2 linked regions of the Arabidopsis thaliana genome follow. The protein of the gene in region 1 interacts with the protein of each later gene in a pairwise test. Each region holds a gene or a part of one and is shown on either strand. Other genes may lie near its edges.

The links. Proteins that work in one complex are often made in the same cells at the same time.
Region 2: the proteins of AT1G05805 (region 1) and AT4G10600 interact in a two-hybrid assay, tested with the Arabidopsis thaliana proteins (one large-scale study listed by BioGRID).

Annotation. Positions count from the first base shown.
Region 1 is NC_003070.9:1,742,559-1,746,316, forward strand, and holds the start of AT1G05805 (basic helix-loop-helix (bHLH) DNA-binding superfamily protein), read left to right. Parts: upstream 1-1,885; 5' UTR 1,886-2,284; coding exon 2,285-2,759; intron 2,760-3,651; coding exon 3,652-3,758. Other genes in the region: DGL (alpha/beta-Hydrolases superfamily protein), read left to right, coding at 1-61.
Region 2 is NC_003075.7:6,546,750-6,550,507, reverse strand, and holds AT4G10600 (RING/FYVE/PHD zinc finger superfamily protein), read left to right. Parts: upstream 1-1,629; 5' UTR 1,630-1,860; coding exon 1,861-2,574; 3' UTR 2,575-2,667; exon of another isoform or gene 2,668-2,839; intron 2,840-2,942; 3' UTR 2,943-3,273; downstream 3,274-3,758.

The DNA of each region.
Region 1 (3,758 bases):
CAATGCGGCATATCTACTTTGTTCTATATCCAACCATATGTTGTATTATAATATATTTTAGGTCTAGATTGATCCAAGCTAAAATTTTGGATTCTTTTTTAAGATAGGACAAAATAATTATTGCCCTATCTTTTACGTAGCATAAGAAATGTACATATATAGATGTATATGCAAAACCTAATACAAAAAAGTATATTTTCCACATCCAAGATAAATTATTGCGTCTCATCTATCACAATGTGAACAAAAATAATTATTTTCTTCTCTTAGTTACTATGAGTTCACAATATAATACTTTTCTTTAGGTTAAAGCTCTCAACTGTTGATGAAGTACAAGAACTCAAAATTGTGAATGAAAAAAAGGGACATCATCCAATATCAGGCGTGTACATATTAGCATTGTTGTGTATCTTTTTATATTATAGTCCATTAGTCCTAATCGATAGATGTATTTTTTTTTGTTTTATTAGTTATAAAAACAGACATCTATTATTAATTTGTTATGGTTAATTGGTTATTGTATATTATTATAGTAGAAGTGACGTGAGGTACCAACGTATTAGATTATAAATATAAATAATGGCCAAAGACAAAGCCATTTGTCAAAACTTCAACGTCATTATAACCTGTAAGATTAAAAATGAACAATAAGAAATCATATTTAGCAAAAAAAAAAAAAAAAAACAATAAGAATCATTTGTCAAATCTTCAACATCGTTACAGTGTATAATTTATATTTTGATTTTTTGTTCTAAATGATCAAAGTTCATATATAAAGTTATTTATATGCTCAAATTTAATCATCGAATATATATACAATTTGTCTATGTTATTTGTCAAAGACAACGTCAGCAATAGTTCCATATACTCTCTTTTTCTTTCGGAGTCTTTATATTACTCACGGAGATATTAAATTATATTTATTTTTTCACTGAGATATTTTTTTTTTTTTGGTTTAATGTTAATAAACTCACTGAGATATTAATTAATACATGCAATCTTTATCTATATTTCCCATTTTTATTTGTAAATGTGTCCCTTCTCGTGTTATGCGAGGGTCTTTTTTTAACTTTTTAATTTCTCATTTGGAAGCTTTCATCTATAAATATATGCACTAGCTTATTCTATATATAACATAAAACCGAAAAAAGGTTTTGTTCACGATGTGGATTCTCTGTTCACGAGAGGTTTTGTTGAAAAAGAAAGAAAGAAAATAATTCAACTTGAATTTGGAAGTTTGGTTACAGATCACATCATTCGACAATAAAAATAAAGACATATATAACAATTAGAACAGTAACTAATTTGAATTTCAGCTTCGATTTCTTACGAATCACATGGGGTCAATAAGGGTGGGGCTAGAAAAACACGTACGTTTGGAGACCAATGTGTGTATCATTCCTGCATGCGCATCAGATGTGTTTCACTCTTCAGAAAAACGTTTATTTTATTTTGCATGTCACAGTCGTAGCTAATTATCCGTACGCATCTTAATTACGACTCCATTTTACACACCAATTTATGGATATATAATTCAGACAAGATGAGTTCTCGTTTAATTTTACTTCTTTCCATTTGTGGAAGTTCATATACTATTGTGAAAATTTGAAAATAACTGGTGAAAGAGGAAACGTCCATATTTGTGGGCTCTATTTATAATAATAACAACAATATTAATTGTTTAGGTAAAAATTAACAGAACTATTTTGAATTACAATCGGAAAAAGGTTTGCGTCAAAAAAGTATTGATGAACCATGCATTTGATATAAGCATTTATGTTTGTTCAATTTACTATTAAGCAATTAAGTCGAATTTTATCGAATCATTTTAATTTTTACCTTTAACATTTCTGTGATCTTGAAATCTTTAAATTAACAATGTGAGTTATATACACTAGAGAAAAATAATTGCATTCCACTGAAAACCTCAACATCTTGGGAAATTTAAACTTAATCAAAGACATCGCAAATGTTGCTTATCTTTTTATCAAGCCCAGCCCACATATTCGCGGCCCCAAAGCCCAAAGGTTAAGCTGACTCGTTACAAAATAAATAAGTATTAATAAAGGTTTTTGATTGGCTTATTTCGGTTTAAATTTAATACCATATCTTTCGGAAGATCACGTGAGACACATGTGACATCCAACGAATAGCCAATCGCTGAAAAGTGAAGACTTTTTGTTACCCCATAAACAAAAGCATCATCTCTCTCTCATCTTTTATTTTTCTTTTAGAAACCAAACTTTTCAGATTTCTCTCTCTCCATTTGGCGATAGAAGAAGTCATGTACCAATCATCATCCTCCACGTCATCATCATCGCAGAGATCATCGCTTCCCGGCGGCGGAGGACTGATCCGTTACGGCTCAGCTCCGGGATCGTTTCTAAACTCTGTGGTTGACGAAGTCATCGGAGGAGGCTCATCAAACGCTCGTGACTTCACCGGCTATCAACCGTCGTCGGATAACTTCATCGGTAACTTTTTCACCGGAGCTGCTGACTCATCCTCGCTGAGATCCGATTCGACGACTTGTGGAGTCAACAACTCATCCGACGGACAGAAACAGCTAGGCAATAACAATAATAATAATAGTAATAAAGATATCTTCCTCGACAGATCCTACGGTGGATTCAACGAGATCTCGCAACAACACAAGAGCAACGACATCGGAGGAGGAAACAGCTCAGGATCTTACTCTCTCGCTAGACAACGTAGCTCTCCCGCCGATTTCTTCACCTACCTCGCCTCAGATAAAAACAGTTAGTCCTTTTTTTACTCAAGAATAGTAACTGTGATGAGATATATATATTTAGACAGACAAGTTTACTCATTTTCAGACCATTTTTCCTTAGAATTTGCCAAAAATCGTAATGTAGAATATGAGCTATATAGTTTTCAGTCATTCAATCATTCATTGCTCAACTAAAGATCCGTTTTTTGGTGAAATGAAAATCTAACCACGAGGGTATTTTCGGTATTTCTCACTGTGAAGTATCTAGTTTCTTACAAGTTAATTAACGACTATGTATATAAAATAAGTTGACATTGTGAGCTTTGATATTTAGGGTCGTTGCTAAATTAGCTTGGTTGGTACTTGTGCAAGACGTGATCCTCGTATTTTCGGAATGACGAAAATACCATTTGATCCCTAACCACGTGCTTGAAAATACAGCAAAAATGTGGCTCGGTTACCCTTAATTTGGGATATTATTTAAATCTTCGAGGATTCCTATATCTCAAGTTGCATTTATTTATTTAGAGGATGGATTTTTTCGTTGATGACCAATAGTTTCTCTGCTGAGATGGCGAAATATCATTGGTTGTGATGAAGATTATTCAAATAGAAAGCGATGTAGATCTAGTTGGTGGATCTGATCTGTCCACTTTTATATTATTTTTTCCTTGGTCCTGATGATTCGTGCTTTGCTTCGTTGTTATCTAATCATAATATCTTCCACCAAGCCTGGATGTGACTTCCCACACCTAACCGGTCACCGGCCTGAACCGGAATTCAACTATCCATATTATCCAAAAATCCCTCTTTATTTACTTACATTATATGGTTTCTAATATTTTGGATGTGAATGTGAATTATTTTTAAAAATAATTTTCACGTAATGTCATTATAATATAGTTTACTTTGTAAATCAGATTTCTCGTTGAACCAACCAACCAGTGATTATAGTCCGCAAGGAGGGTCTAATGGGGGACGAGGACATTCCAGATTGAAGTCTCAGCTAAGCTTCACGAATCACGAC
Region 2 (3,758 bases), on another chromosome or scaffold:
TATCGAGTTCGGATTAAGACTTTGATAATCTATAAATACTTGAGTTGACTTATAATTATCATGATAAAGTTGAGCGGTGGTAGTTCAAAGAATTTTTAGTCTCAATCCATATAAGAAAGGATAGGAACAGAATGCATTGATCCATTAAAGGAATGTCAAAAAATTTCAATATCACTACATTTAAGGAATGTCAAACTTCTTCTAACTACTTTTTTAACTACCAAAATCTGAACAATTATCAGTTTCAAAATCAATCTCCTAACAATCCCCAATTTATGAAGGCTTATAGCAAAAATAAAGACTTGTTTTAATTAATTTGGACACAAAAACCCCATCTTTTTAAATTAAACTTTTGCTATCATCCTTCATAAACTCTTGTTTATTTTTTATCCGTCTTTTTAGTGAAATAGATCATAATAATATCATTTTAACTCCCAAAATTTTTCTAATTACCTTTTTAACTACCCAACATCAATCTCCTAACCATCAACATAATATAACAAATTATGGTTATCCACCAAATTTCTTTATATCGTCAACTGTTCCAAACTATCCTTCATATTTTAAAATATTTAATTTTTACTTATTTTAATTTTATTTGATATTAATTGTAATTAATTAATCACAAAAAACATAAACATAATTAAAATAAAAAATATAAAATAATGGTAGGGTAATGTGTTGTAATTTTATTAAACAAAACTATTGTAGTAAGTAAAAATTATGTAGGTATTGAATTATAATGTGGAGTGTTGAAAAGAGAAAAGTGGACATTGTAACCATGTAACTAATGTAGATAGTCTAACAGGTACACTAGTTGTACATGTTATTTTATCAACAATAGTTCTCTTCCTACTAATTAGAACAATTCAAGTCTAGTATCCATATATTATAATATAACATCTTACTAGTGCATGGGTTATTCAAAGATTCAATGATCATACAAAACATAAATCTACAAACTAAAATTCCCAAATAAAAATCATAAATCAAAGCCATCTCATTGAAGTTTCAGCTTTAACAAACACAAAATTAGCATAAAAACGATCAAAGAAAAAAACCTAAAAATCAAAACTTCAACTTCCAATATCTCTATTCCAATATCTTTCCTTCGATTTTTCTGTATGTCTTCCAAATTCTTTTTGTTTCCCTAATTGCTCAAGAAGTAATATCTTCGTCATTCTGTTTTTATTCAAGGTACATAGAAAGATTGATCCTAGACTACATCAAATTGGGTGTAGTCAGTGATATAGCTTCCCCGAAGTTAGCGGTTTTCGAAATCTTTTTGAAGCGGTTTCATATGATCGACCCAGAAGATTTTGGTACTACGACGTGACGAGTGGTTTTCAGAAGAACACATCTTCTACACGTGTCTTTAGGCTAAATTATACGTGCAAATATTTTTGCTAACTTCATTATGATTTAGTTATTTGACCGTTAATTTCCGCTTGTATTCCTCTTTGAGCTTGACCATTCTGTTTTTTATCTGCTTTTGGTTTTTAAATGAAATCGTTTGGTCCGTCCACAAAAAAAAAACAGTACCTATCCTCTAAGCCCGGCCCATCCCGGCCCATCCCGGCCCATCCCGGCCCATCCCGGCCCATACCGGCCCATATTTTAGTAATTATGGTTCCTATCTTCGTCTTCTTCGTTCAGAAATGGGAAGCGAGAACCATAGATTTACGTCAAGATAGCTTTTTTTCTATCAAGAATCGCAAAGCTATTTCGCGTAACATTACAATCGTCGTTCAGAAGAAACGAATTGGGTTTGACAAAGCTTCGATATTCAGGGAGATTTCTGGGTTAATTTGTGAAAGAATCAGAGAAATTTAGAGTTTTTTTTTTGGGGGTAAATTTGAGATGAAGCCACACGAAGATTGGGTTTATGAATCATGGACAGTAGATTGTGTTTGTGGTGTGAATTTTGATGATGGTAAAGAGATGGTTGATTGTGATGAATGTGGTGTTTGGGTTCATACATGGTGTTCTCGTTATGTTAAAGGTGATGATTTGTTTGTTTGCCACAAGTGTAAGATAAAAAACAATGAAGATGAATTGTCCAAGTTATCGGTTACTAAATCGTTGAGAATGGAGAATTTATGTACGCAGAGTAGTGAGAGTGTTGTATTGAAGGCTTGTTCAGAGATACCAATTGAAGAAAGGGTTCATGTACAAGGAGTTCCTGGTGGTGATTTGGGTTTGTTTGAATGTGTTTCTTCGGTTTTTAGTCGGCAGTTATGGAAGTGTAGTGGTTATGTGCCTAAGAAGTTTAGGTTTCAGTGTAGGGAGTTTCCTTGTTGGGATGAGAAGGAGAATGTGTGTGATGTTGTTGGGGATGAAGATGATAGTAATCTTGCTGGTGTTTTGTTGTCTATGTCGAAAGAAAACGGTGTGGATGGTAAGGGAGACAATGCTAGGAATTGTGGTTCTAGAGAAATTGAGAGTGATGTAGAGAAAGAGAAGAGCTTGCTTTGTGATCCTTTGAGTATATATAAGAGGAGAAACGAGTCGGTGGGTGGTTTTGAAGATGGGGTAAAGAAGAAGGTTAAAGTTGCTGATAAAGAGGAAGAATAATGATGTAAGAAGGCTTTGATTTGGATACAGAAGAGGCATTATGTGTTACACAACCAACATTTCTTATTTTAATAGATTTCTTACACAAGAATGGTAAGGTTTATAACTTTGTCACTAGTTTAGATTCTTAACCTTATATTCAGATATAACCACAATGGTTCATGGTTTCATTTGTCTTTGCAATCAACTAACAGTTGTAGGATACTTAACATCCACATAATATGCAATAAAAAGTGTAAATTCTTTCCATTGATGATAAACTCGATTGCTTGGTTTATAAGTTTGTGTAGGTCAAATTAGGAGCAAGAAAGGCTTGTTTTATCTTGATGATTAACTCAATCTTAGTCATTCATGTGAGCGGTTCGCAGTTTCAGGATTAGTAGGCGCTCAAAATCTTGAAGGCTTCGCGGACTCTCCTCGCCCTCCGTCCTTCCATAGATGAAGTTGAATTCTCTGACAATTCTCACCATGAACAATTTTAGGTGATTTCAAATAGATAAGAAAGCTCTTGTTGGAAGGCAGTGCACTAAAGGGTCCTGATATCCTACTTGTATTCCAAAAAACTCTTCTCTTGAATATGAAAGGCTGCAAAGCGTTGGTGCGACTTCCAAATTGTTTCCGGAACTTACGGAGTATATGCAGAATTTTGTGCTTTATGGAACAAGAATAAACTTGAAATGCCAAAGTTATTGCATTGCATTGAGTCTGTTTTATGCTTAAGTGCAACTGTGCAAGCTAACATCAGCCATCTGATATGGCTTTACTTCAAGAATCGCTAGAAGCTCAAATCTTAAGTGCCACATGGTTTATGTTTGATGTTTTGTGTCGCTTGGTAGGCACATATTTAGTGGCCATTGTTGTAGGATCCAAATCGCTAAGTAAAAGAAAAGTCTCAATTCTATATGAAACTCATGTAAATCCATTAAAACTCATTGGAGAAAAGCCCTTAATTATCCATATAAGCCCGTAACGAGAGAGTAAACCTAAAATTTCGTTAGACAAAAAGAAAACCCTAGCCGATTAATATCCTTATAAATAGATAGGTAGTCTCCTTAATTTTCTCCTTAGTCAAAATCTTAGAGAGAGTCCGAGGAAACCCTAGCCACCGTCGTTGCCGTAACTCGTTCGCCTGAGGATAATGATCAATTGGGTTTATGCTAGAGTTAAATCGGGTCTTGAAAAGA